Linked DNA regions of Nothobranchius furzeri. The protein of the gene in region 1 purifies or fractionates together with the protein of each later gene. This does not show direct contact. Links are inferred from orthologs where the notes say so. Each region holds a gene or a part of one and is shown in the gene's direction. Other genes may lie near its edges.

Region 1 (4,297 bases):
TAATAACATAGGAAAAACAATAAATTTACTGTTTATTTTTATTTAGTTGGGTGTCTTAAGATTTCTTTTTTTTTTTTCAAAATAATCGTTTTCTTGTAAAATTCTTTGAGCAAACATAAAAAAGTTATTGTGGCGCTATAAGTAGGTATAATTTATGCCCGTTTAGACATTTCATCATTATTTTTAACATTACTACTACTACTACTACTACTACTACTACTACTACTACTACTACTACTAATAATAATAATAATAATAATAATAATAATAATAATAATAATAATAACAACAAAAACAATAATATCTGCCCATCCATCCATTGTCTTCCACTCAGTTCAGGTTGCAAGGGCAGTAACCTAATAATTATTATCAGGCTATACATTAGTCTCAAAATATTATTACTAATCTTGGAATAAAAATGTTAGTCGGACAGTTTATGCATGATAACAACCTCACTGTACCTTGTACAGTGACAATAAAAACATTCATTCATTCATATCACATAGGCCTAGATAAACTATATTTTACAGGACTGGGATAATTACACAACATTATGTAAATGTCACGCTTGTATTATTAAAAATGTAAATGACATTATATATATATATATATATATATATATATATATATATATATATATATATATATATATATATATATATATATATATATATATATGAATATATGAATGTGTTATAAAGTGTCAGAGCATTGAGTCCTGAGATCATAGATTGAAAAGTTGCATTAGGGCTAGGGTTAGTGTGTAGGACATATGTATATGGGAAATATCATATATAATATGATAATATGTTCATAGGAACATGATGGAAATATCATATATATACATATATATATGTATATATATGAATGTGTTATAAAGTGTCAGAGCATTGAGTCCTGAGATCATAGATTGAAAAGTTGCATTAGGGCTAGGGTTAGTGTGTAGGTCTACCTGCCCTTTCCTTTATGTCTTTACTGGTGGTTGATCTGCTTGATGCAGAGCTGAGATTCCTTCTGCTAATGATGGGATAACACAAAATGCATTCGTTTAAGAAGGATGAAGAGAAGGCACAAAGAGCCTGGACAGTAATCCACTGGCTGCCAGATGTGACCCAGTTTCATGCCAACTATGATTTGTTGTCATGAGGCTGAAATCTCTCAAAAAATAATGAAATAAAACTCTTAAATCATGATTAGCATAAAAACACTTTCGCCACGTATTTTATTTCATCTTGAAGGGAACGTGAGGTCACGGGTTTGGGGCGGGTCCGGTCGCTGTAGTCTACTTCCTGTTTCTCTTCTCCGGCTTCGCCAGATCAGCTGCTCCGGTCGTCTCAGTCCGAAAGACACTATGTCACATCAAACGGGCATTCAAGGTGCGCAACTATCGTTATGCTGCCAGTACTCGTGGTTTTATCGACTTTCCTGAATTAATGTGTATTTAACAGGATTACTTTTGAGCGCTTGCATCCAGAAGCTTGCGCTAAGTTAGCTAGCCTTTAGCGAGTTAGCTCCGTGCTACTGTGATTTTGCGCTAAATTAGCTAGCTTTTAGCAAGTTCGCTCCGTGCTACTGTGATTTTGCGCTAAGTTTAGCTAGCCTTTAACAAGTTAGCTCCGTGCTACTGTGATTTGTGTCAGCGCTCATGCTCAGTTTGGACCCTGTTGGACTGTTTGGACAGTTTTGTATATATGTCGATGGTTTGGACCCTTTGGGATGAATCTAAGCGTCTCTTTGCCGGTTTATGAGGCATTTCAGAAGCGGGCTTGTTTTTCAAAACCTTTTATTTGCTCTGTTTTAAATGTCACTTGTATTTAGAGTTTTTTTAACATCAAACTGGAGACCTGTAAAGCTAGTTTTAGTTCTGATGGATGGGCAACGCCTTCTTCTTTAACCAACCTGTCACACTGACAGGTTATTGACGGTGGCAATAACTTTTGTTATAATGTTACAAAACATTGTAAATCAGGCGCAGCCTTGTGCTGGTCTGTGTGCATTCACAAATGACTGTTTTTATTTACAAAATATGCAAATGAGAGGAAGTTAGTTTCAGGTCTTTAGGAAAGGAAATTAGTATTTTTAAGCCCTTCTTACCAACTCTAGAAGCTGTGAGTGAAATATTTGCTGCAGCAGCTCTTAAATACCCGTCCCTCTCCTATCCAAGAGCTGTGTTTGTTTAAAAACAATTTCAGACCATGTTTAATGTCTTTCTTTCTCAGCGGGTAATGATGTGAAGGAAATCTTTGCCATTGCCAAAACCGGAGACCGGTATCGAGCCCTTAAGATCGTCATTGAGGATGGTAAGCTTTGTTTACACCTCTGTCTGCCAAGAACCATTAAAACTTTGCATTTGCATAAACATTTGCAAAACTCCTGACATTAGAAATGCCTGCATGACAAATCTGTGCATCACTGACATTTTAGTTTGCACACATCTGGTTTCCAGAGCAGCTGGTTCTAGGCAGCACCAGGAAATCATCAAAGACGTGGGACCAGGAATATGATTCCTTAGTGCTGCCGCTGCTGGAGGATGGTTTACCCTGTTATATTCTGTACCGGCTGGACTCCATTAACAACCAGGGCTACGAATGGATCCTTCTGGCCTGGTCACCGGACCACTCTGCTGTAAGGAAACTTTGCCCAAAAAGGGCTTTAATGAATAGCTCTCCATCTTTTGTGGTGTTTTCACGTGGGTGAGGCCCACCACATCAAAGCAGCTAGTCTTTATGTGCTTTCATACCTTCTTAGCAAACTTTTGAAAACTTAAGATGGCTAAATCATACTTCCTAAATGATTCAGCACTTTGCTTCAAAGCTTCCTCCAGCACCACTCATTTTCTGCATTCAGATTAGAGATCCGGCCAAATACAGCGATTTAAAACTGTTTCTGGTTTTTTACGAAAACCTGGCTAAATAGTCACTGCCTGTTATTGTTTGGTTTCATTGAAACTTGACAAACAACTTGGAAGAGGCTTCCCCAGAGAAGGCCTGACAAATAAACAAAAGTGGTTTCTGTAGCAGTGAAAAGAGAAATGTAGCAGGAAGACACCAAAGATCAGAAGGATGTTCGTAGCTTTCAATCAGGTCAGAACTGAGCTAAGATTTCCATTCTGAGTCATACGACTCATCCTAACATTCCCACCCCCAGCTCAGAGCATTCTGCATCAGGTTCAGGCTTGTCTAGAAGTTGCTAAATAATTTCAGAACCAGTGTTTGCATGCATGCCGCTGCAACCTCAGCTGGACTGGCCTTTTTCCCACTTAAGATGATCCTATCTATGTCGAAGCCTTGGATCATAGAAATAATTAAGAAAATATTGGGAGCTCGTTGTTTTACTGCAGGAAAGAAGGCTGTTTAAAATCAATGAAGAGTCTGAATTGCTAACTTCAACGATGTTCTTGAGGATAGACGAGTACCTTAATGCGGTCAGTGCCTTTTAGTGGGACCAAGATCATTTCCTCACAGACTCCTCGCGTTTAGCCGTCAACCGCAGTGTGTTTGCATCTTATGCCACTGCTGAATGCTAAGGTACTCTATCAAAAACGGATCTACATGTGGACGTTTTTACTTGTTAAGATAATCAGAAGTGTTTGAAGAAGGCATTCTAAAGTTCTTTAGAATACGTCCGAATCGTTCAAAAGAGAGATTTAAGAAAATCTTGATACACTGATATATCGTGATATTTTGTTTTATGATACTGAATCCATTTTTAAAATCAGTCAATAGATTTTGTTTTAAAAGAAAATTTACATGCAAACAATTACTTTATTTTGTATGGTGCAATTCAAACTCTGACTGCTAGGGGGCAGCAGTATTTGCCACCTTCATTCTGACAGTATGTTCTCACCATAAGTCTGAATGTCTTGGAAGCTTCTGAACTGAATTTGCCAAAGTTTAAAGTTGTAAACATCATCTAGAATTCAGTATCGTGACCCATCATATCGTCTCTCCTTTATTGTGATCTATATCATGTTAAAATCTGTATCAGCAGGTCAAAACAGTAAAACAGGTGGAAATCATAACATCCCTTGTTTATATTAAAAACATTTATATATATATATATATATATATATATATATATATATATATATATATATATATATATAAGCTGTTTAGAGTCAACAAGACCACACGCTGGTCTTGGCTGCACTTGTTCTCGATGACATCTCACCAATCACCAGTCTTAAAAGCTGTACTATGCAATTTTTCATATAAAAAAATGTTCTTGAGCCAGTATGTGCTAAGACGACCCTTTACAGGTTAACAAAATGTCACTCAGACCCCCACAGCCCTCTGTG
Region 2 (4,203 bases), on another chromosome or scaffold:
ATGACTATTTTGAAATGGCAAACAGTAGCTCAGGAGATAGAGCCGATTGTCCAGAAGGGCTGTAGGATTGATCTTCTGCTGTTGTGTCCTTGGGCAAGACATTTAACCCACCTTGCCTGCTGGTGGTGGTATGAGGGACTGGTGGCACCAGTGCTAGACAGCCTCACTTCCATCAGTGCACCCCAGGGCAGCTGTGGCTACATTGTAGCTAATCATCACTACCGTGTGAATGTGTTTGTGCATGGGTGAATGCAAGGATGTGGTTTTGACTTTAGACATGGGGGATGTCTAGATGAAGAACGAGGCTCTGTCCTTTACTTCCATTCTCATTTATCTAGCATCGATTAACAAGGGCTGCCTATAGGTGTGCATAAGCCTTGATTACCGATATGGGATTGAATCCACCTGAGAATCGTTTGTGGCGCCGGCGAATCTGGGAGGGGAGCGCCTGATCAAGCAGGGATTTATCAGGAGATCCCGATGATGAAAGCACATCCTGTTTACAACCTGGAACGACAACAAGAATGGCCAATCACACGTTAGTAAGTATCAGCAGAGCCAATAGATGAGCTCATGGATGGTTCTAATGAGAAACAGGCGTAAACACAAGTGGTTGTTTTCTGCTTGGTCCTAGTGGTCAACCAATGTCTATTTAATACAGCGTGATATTGTTTTTGGATGGTAAAAAGTGAAGAGGACAAAAAAATGTCATTGGAAAACATTGGGGGAGGGGGTGGGACAGGTGAATGACTGATTGTGTTGTGAAGTGCCTTGGAGGGTTGTAGAACTCTAGAAGGTATATGAGAACACATGCAGGCCATTTACTATAAATAAATAAAGATGTGTCAGAAGTGTCCTACATTTTGTTCCGATTTCAAAACACAGGTATGTTTAGTTTTTCAGTAACTGAGCATCTTTTTAAAATTTTGATTAAACAAAATCTTTTATTTGCATTTGATTTATCATTTTTAATTAATCCTCTCATGATTCATGAAGTCTGAAATTTATGACTTGCAGACCTATATTTGAATAACATTGCCTAAGCATTCTATGAAACAACCTTGATAAAGAATGCATAAAACAGCAAAACCTCTTTCTACGGTCACTGAGCAAAACTAAATTTCTGAACACGGCCAGTTTCAAATGATAATGTTCAGTTCTAATTATATAAATGTTGACAGGAAGAATTTTAATTGTAATATGGATGACAGGTTTTTATGTTGTTATTATTATTTATTTGTAGTTTCAGTTTGCAATTATAGTTTTTTTTTCAGTAGCTGTCCATCTTCCGCCCTCCCTGGCTGCATATTTGCTGCTAAGCTCATCTCTTTCCATACTTGGCAATGCCTTTCTTGCTCCGTCGCTATTGGCTGATGCAAACTAACCCCCAGTGACCCGGATGTACAAGCGGGGCCTGTTTTCTCACCGCAGCCTCCTTCCTATAGCCCGGGTTGAGGAAGTAAATTTCGCTGACAGGGCTGGGTTCAGAAAGGGAGAGGCGAACAAAACATCTTCCGCGGGGTACTAAGTATAAATAAAAACGACAAGAGACCAGAGAAGTACGTTGGCAAATCACCACAAAGCTAAGGTGTACAGTCATCGGTGATATCGATCCCCGCTGAGACCGCCGCAGACATGGTAAGGCCCTCGGAGAAGCTGGTTGGAGATGGGGTTTTAGGCTTTGGCTGCGGTTGCTTTTTCACTCAGCTGCTGGTTGGAGGAGCTGGGTGGTAATTTGAGAGGAGCACGGAGCACAAATCACTGAGTGCATCCAACTTGCGTGGCTAGCAGAACTTCTGCGTGGCGAAAAGTATTATTTAGCTTCATGGCTAAGTTGCTAGTTAGCTTCCTGCTAACAGTAGTCAATCTACTTGCCTCATAGGTAAAGTTAACACAGGATGTTTTGTATTTGACACAAGTTTGCTACAGCAGGGATCAATCCTAATTTAGCTCTCTCTCTCACACACACTCACACAGTTCATCCACCCTTTTACTCTGGCTGAAACAGCCAAGCACGGAGTGGCTCGCAGCTAAAATAAGAGCGCTTGCTCCTACTATTTCTAATCATGACAAGTTGGCTGCCTTTCTCTACATTTTCCTGGATAGGTCTGACACCCAGTCCAGCCCAGTCTCCATGTTCACATGACTTATTTTTAGTCTAATTTTATTCTCGTCAGCCTTAAAATATGGTTACCTTTGTATGTTATGTCAAATTAATCCATAAAACATCATATTGAACTAAACAAAATGACAGAATTTTTCTAACTGTTTAATCTATTGAATTGTATGAACCCCAGATATGTGTGAAAATAACAGCAAAAGTTACAAGGGTTAGAATATTAACTGTTAATGAAATTATTTAAAAATGTAATAAAACAGTTGCTGCAATATTTTTCTATGTTTAGCAACATATTTTAATGTTCTAAGTTTTCCAAACTCTCTGTAAGCCTTTTTTTAGTCTCGTGGTGACTCCAGAGAACCAAAAAGATGCTTGTTATTTATCTGAATTACTAGTTTGACAAGACTCATTCACTTAACACCGCATGAGTGCTTGTTCCATTCAAGTGATATCAAACAGGTTTTCCATAACACTGAGATAATATGAATCTCTTTTCTGCTTCAGTTAATTTGTTGCCCAAAGTTTCAGCAACTCGCGTTTGTTTCCTGACAAAAGTTCAAACACACAATACAATGCAGAGGGTGGCATTTGTTAATAGATATGATGCTTATCTCTTAAAATTCAAACGTATTTGTTTTCTACTCAAACCCTTTTACTAGCTTCATTTTACATCCAGTTTTTTAGCATTTTCTTTCCACAAGTAGGCAGCATGACTGTTTGACGTCAACAGGAACTAAACCAAGTAGAACAGCTGCCCCCGTCTTTAGTCTGTTCTCCTATGACCCCAGAAGTTGCTCGTCTGATCGGTGTTTACATGAAGACAGCAGCACTTGTAAATGCATTGTCAAGAAACACGGGTGTTTAATGAAGCAGAGTGATTCATCAGTTAGAAATTGATTTTAAAAAGTGACCTTTGTGACGGGAGATTTTATGCGAGACACTTCCTATAAACATCTGTTATGTTCTGTTTTAGCCTTAATGAAAATATTTATGCTCAGAGGGCTCTCTGCTTTGTAGCATGTCATTATTCTTGTACCAGATGGTTGATGCATTCTTATGTACTTTAGTATGTTTGCACACTTCAGGTGTGGATTACCCATGTTAGATGGTTTTGTTTACATCTGTAAGGGAAGTGAATTAATCTGGTATAACACATTTTGTTGAGATAGGGGTTTGTTTGTTTGTTTTTCTTCTGTTTCAACATACTTTATTGTTGGTTTATAGGAGCATTGGATTGGGTTTTGTGTCGTTTGTCATTCTTGTTAGCAGAGCTTACATTTATCAGCGGTTCAACTTAGTTCACAAAGACAGAGGAAGAGAAGTCTCAGAACGCTTTACTCATCTCTCTGCACACACACACAGGTGAGACACATTACCTTAAATTTCATCTGACCAACCTGTTTGGAGTCAGGAAGTCACGTAAGCACTCTTAACACCTTCAAAATAAAAGCATGACAAAAACGAGAGCGTAAAAGAAGCATATACATAGCTCAACAATTCTTTGACTTTTTTGCAAACTAAGGGCACACATAGGTGTAATCTGTTGTGTTTTAGTGTATATTTTAGCACCTTAACTATGTAAGTGCTGGAGCAATAAGATTTACATGTGATCTCTGAAGACTTTGTTTCTGTCTGTCTGGTAAAGGTTGGATGAAAACATGTGTAGACACTTCTGCAGCCTGTTATCTCACCTTAAAAATGTCACTCCTTAAAACAGTTTCCTGTTGCAACTGGTCTGCCCACTAAGGTCCTGTCTCATATGGCAGTCTAGGTTGGGCTGGCCCATCTCTGCGCAGCCAGGTTTTGTTCACACAGCCTTCTCAGGGAATTAGGGGTGTAAGAAAATATCGATATGGCAATATATCGTGGTATTTTTTCCTGTGATTATTACATCGATATTCAAAAGCTGTGTATCTCATTCTTGAAAGAATTTACATGCAAACATTTGTGCATTTTCTTTTCGTTTTGTGCAATTCAATCGCCACCCGCTAGTTGGCAGCAGTGTGCAACAGGTTTTGTTTCCACCACTGAAATGTAAATCCCTCCATCATGGTTCTGATACCTCACGTTAAACATGTTGCGTA
Region 3 (4,338 bases), on another chromosome or scaffold:
GAGCTTAGATTTTAACATGTACTGTTTAACCATGACATTTAAATGTAATAGGGTAAAACCCAGTGCATTTAACATAATGCTGCACTTTAGAAAATGGGTTGAAATATAACATGTTGGTGGAGCTGGGTTCCGACTATCGGCTTGTGGAGCTCTCGGGAGACCTCTGTTTTCCACCCGGTTCTCCCCTCCCCGCAGCTCGGTGCATCTCTGTCTGATCGCAGCTTCTGTTTGCTGCGCGGGCTGATGACTTGTGGAGCCCTGGGATGGAAACCTTTCCACCCGGTTCTCCCCAGCGGCAGCTCTGCACATCTCAGATCACAGAGGCGCTTGTCTGCTGTGCGGCTGCCGGCTTGTGGAGGTCTCGGAGACCTCTGTGTTCCACCCGGTTTTACCCAGCGGTCAACCTGGCGTATCTCTGACTCAGAAGCTCTGGTGTTGTGCACAGTTAACTCCGGTTGTAGCTAGGTTGCTACCTCCATTATCTTAGCTCCCACCTCCGCGTTAGCTTTGGGTTAGCTTCAGGTTAGCTTGTAGCTAGTTCGACCGGGTGTCGTCAGTTGATCCCAGCCTTACAGCCCCACCCTTAGCTCCTCCTCTCTTCCCTTTTATGGAATTGTCTGGGCTTGACGGAACCTGTGACACGGTCAAAATGGCGGTGGTGGCCACCTCCATTTTAGTACAAAAACGTGTTATTGGAGTCTATGGAAACCCATTGTCCATATATGTATGTCGATGTCCAACCCTCAATGCTCCTCTCCCTATCCACACTGAGGTGACATGCGCTGCTTCTATCGTGGCTGCAGGAACTGAAATGGGAATAGTCCCAACCCACCACCCCACCTAGTGGACACTTGTGTTGTCTGAAGTCTGTTGCATATATGTTTGAGGTGTTTTTTTTTTTTTTGCAGAGCAAAGCTGCCCTCCTGTAGGGAGGGTAACTCTGAAGTGCCTCTTTTTCCCTCCACCTGAACCAATCCTCATGTAACCCCTCTTATCTCTATTAAGGTAGTGCGACTGTGGTTGCGAATGACCACAGTCACCAATTCTTGTCATGTGTCTTGCCCATCTATGTCTGATCACTGAATTGTGTGTACTGAAACTCTAATTTCCCTCTGGGATTAATAAAGTATCTTTGATTGATAAAGACCAAAAAAGCCCGTAGATTTTTATAACCCCCCCCCCCCCCCCCCAACCCTGCTGGGATCGATTCGCCACCCCTTGCTTGAGAAGCCTGCCGTTTTGATTGGGTGCGGTGGGCTCTAGGACCCACCGGACACCTCCCTCGCCTCTTTGTCTCCACCAGTCAGCACCATCACCTCCCCCTCCTCCCCCCGCCTCCCCGCTCGGGTTTATTCCGACTCTCTCTCCATCAGCAGCGGTCTGGATGCTCACGCGGACTCAAACATGGCCGTGAATCTGTCCAAGAACCGCCTGGCCCTGCTGACCGCCTACCAGGACGTCATAGACGAGACCTCCGACACCGACTGGTGAGTTCTGCTTACCGAACCGGGCTCTCGCGCTGCGTCTCTCCGTGTTCCGGGCTTTTCTCCGGGTTTGTGGCGCCGAGGATGAGGAGGGTGATGATGGAGGGGCATCATCTTCATCACAGTTGTACTGTTTCGGATTACCGAAACACGGTCCAGGTGCAGGACCCGGTTCTGGTTTGATAAAAGTGAGGAAATCCGTTAGAACTGAGTTTGTTCTGAGTCTGAACCGACCTGACCCGACCCGAGCTGCAGAGTCCGGCCGGACCCATCATGCTGCTCTGAGACGGAACCGGGCTGGGCTGAGGGAGCTGGGCCTGGTCCGGAGATAATGATCCACCATCCCTCAAACAGGGAGGGAGGAGAGGGGCGAGGCCGGTGGGAGGGGGTGAGGAGGGGTGAGGGGCCTCCATCATCACTCCTGTGGATTTGGGAATGGGACCAGAACTTATCCAGGCTCAGTTCTGGAGGATTTATTCCCAGACTTCCTTGAGGTCTTCAACAGTTTTCCAGACTTTCTGAAGGACATTTAAAGTTTTCTCTGGACTGATTTGTTTTCCTCCCAGCTCCAGTCCCGTTCTTCTGGTTTGACCCGTCCTCCAGCGTGTCCTCGGGCTGAGGACAGGTCCAGGACCTGCTGTATCCTGCTGCTGGATTCAATTTTGAAACTGATTTACAAACTGAAATTTCCGATGACAAGGTCCGATAAACTGAAAGTGAGAGAAAAAACGGCAAATGTCCTAAAACATGTTCCGAGTCCGGTGTGGAGCCAACCGGATATTCTGCCGTTTTAAAATCTGCAAAAGTTGTAAAGAGCTCATGCAGGAGCAGCCTCTGTTCAGGGAAATGGAGATTACGTCCTCCAGGACAAACGAGCTAACGGCTAATCTGACACGTTGGACTTCCTGCCAGATTTGACCCACTGGTGCACAGATCCTGGTTTTAGGAGCCAATACCGATTTCTGTACTGCTGACCTGATATTCTTTTATCTCAAAGCCCTAAAATCAGCAGATTAACCCCAGACTCACTTGTAAATTATGGTTCTGGGATCTAATGTTTGAGTTTCCCTGATGCCGGTTTCTGCCGATTCCGATCACCAGATGTCTCTTTTGGGGTGAATCTCAGAATAGAAGTGAAACATTTAGTTTTCAGCCATTTGTCCAGACTTTGATGCTGACCTTTCCAATGACCCTAATCGGAGGTCAGGCACCAGAACAGGAACGCTTCAGGTGAATCCCAAAGTCCAAACAAGGTCCTTGTCATTTGTCTGCAGGCGCGTCCTTCTTCCGCTTTCTGTTGAACACAAAACCAAAAGAGGAAGGATGTGGATTATTTTCAGAAGCTGAGGCTCTTCCTGGAGTTTGGACCTTTAAAACATTCCTCTCAGGTGGTCCGGTGGGAAATCACAGCTCAGGCTCCATCTGTACCGTGAAACATCTGTTGGTGTGAACCGGGTCAGATGACCTCTAATGGAGGAACCGGTTCTTCTTTCTGTTTAGGGTTCTGGTCCTGGTTTGTCTCTGGTTTCGGTGCCGACTTCCTCCTAACAATCACCTAAAATCTCAGTGAAGGAATTTCGGGAATGTCCTGTCAGTCCAGGAGCTTTGTGCGGAAACGTTTTCACCTCTGAACTGTTGTTTTGGTGATCAGTTGTTTGGTGAGGAGTTCTGACGGGAAGCGGGAGGGTTCCTGAAACCGCCGAGTGGTCAGAAGCTGTGCAGCGTTCCGTCAGCGTGGACTCGGAGCAGCTCGGGTGATGTTTGAGGCCGCGGGCCTGCCCCCGTTTTTCACACTTGATAGGATCTGAACAAAGGCAGAGACTTCCAAACACCGCTGACCTCAAACAATATGGAACGCCCCCCCAAACGTGACCCTCTGCCCTTCTGTCGTCCTTCTCTGGAGAGAAACGGTCCAGGGTTGTGATGATCTCACCGATCAGCACTCACACCAAACCGCTAAGGACAGAAAACAACCTGAGCGGTGAAGTAATGATTAAAAACCGAGGATTAAAAGTAAAATGTAATAATCGACCTTTAGTTAAAGGAAAACTCAGATTTGTCACCGCTGGGCTCGGAAAGTTGATGAATAAACTTTATTTGGAAACCGTTTGCAAAGTAAAAGGAAAACAGAAAACGTGCCAAAGGGAAGGATTTGACATTCAGTTCAGACGTGGATCAACACTTTTCATTTCCTCGCTTCACCCGTTCACTCGTGACCGAGTTCAGCACGAACCCGTGTCTGACTGCCCGCCAAGCCCCGGTAGATCTACTTTTTATCCTGATATCGTATCGACTACCTGTAATTCTAAACGAAACAAACAAATCTAACAAACTTTTGGTTTCTACTAAAACAAAAACACAACGGCTGTAATGCTGGGTGTGTCGCGATTATAAACTGTGTTTTTAATGAATAAACAAGTTTTTGGTCAAACCTTCAGAGCGAACGAACAAATGTGTGACTGAAATTAACCAAATAATAATATTTAGACGGATGGAAAAGGCAGAAATGCTGCTGCTTCCACTGTTTTCCCGAGTTTATTCCTGTTCCTGAGCAGGATCTCTGCTCCTGATTAACAAACAAATCCAGGTTATCTAAAATCAAACCGTCGGCAGACCTTCAGGAATGCAGCCGCTGCTTAGCTGCAGGCCCTTTGACCCCTCCAGCTGTTGAGGGAAGCCATTACCTGTCGAGTCACTCCTGGCAGGCCGACAAAAGATGAAAATGGCGGCTGGAGCAGCAGAGCAGCTGTTTCCAGAGTTGTGTTTCACTCTGAAGAGAGCCTGCAGGTTATGTTTTAAGCTGCTATTTTATTCTTTACTCAGCTCAAATCCAGATTCTTGTTTCAGCCTAAGG

What was found.
Region 2: the proteins of twf1a (region 1) and capzb purify together in Homo sapiens (affinity purification with mass spectrometry; 3 studies listed by BioGRID and IntAct, with this or other methods). This does not show direct contact. The link is inferred for Nothobranchius furzeri from reciprocal best matches to the Homo sapiens genes TWF1 and CAPZB.
Region 3: the proteins of twf1a (region 1) and dbn1 purify together in Homo sapiens (affinity purification with mass spectrometry; 3 studies listed by BioGRID and IntAct, with this or other methods). This does not show direct contact. The link is inferred for Nothobranchius furzeri from reciprocal best matches to the Homo sapiens genes TWF1 and DBN1.

What each region holds. Positions count from the first base shown.
Region 1 is NC_091744.1:60,882,835-60,887,131, reverse strand, and holds the start of twf1a (twinfilin-1a), read left to right. Parts: upstream 1-1,241; 5' UTR 1,242-1,351; coding exon 1,352-1,376; intron 1,377-2,219; coding exon 2,220-2,300; intron 2,301-2,446; coding exon 2,447-2,625; intron 2,626-4,297. UniProt on the Homo sapiens protein: Actin-binding protein involved in motile and morphological processes. Inhibits actin polymerization, likely by sequestering G-actin. By capping the barbed ends of filaments, it also regulates motility.
Region 2 is NC_091743.1:46,416,950-46,421,152, forward strand, and holds the start of capzb (F-actin-capping protein subunit beta), read left to right. Parts: upstream 1-1,403; 5' UTR 1,404-1,635; coding exon 1,636-1,638; intron 1,639-4,203. UniProt on the Homo sapiens protein: F-actin-capping proteins bind in a Ca(2+)-independent manner to the fast growing ends of actin filaments (barbed end) thereby blocking the exchange of subunits at these ends.
Region 3 is NC_091750.1:70,967,706-70,972,043, forward strand, and holds the start of dbn1 (drebrin), read left to right. Parts: upstream 1-1,328; 5' UTR 1,329-1,404; coding exon 1,405-1,487; intron 1,488-4,338. UniProt on the Homo sapiens protein: Actin cytoskeleton-organizing protein that plays a role in the formation of cell projections. Required for actin polymerization at immunological synapses (IS) and for the recruitment of the chemokine receptor CXCR4 to IS.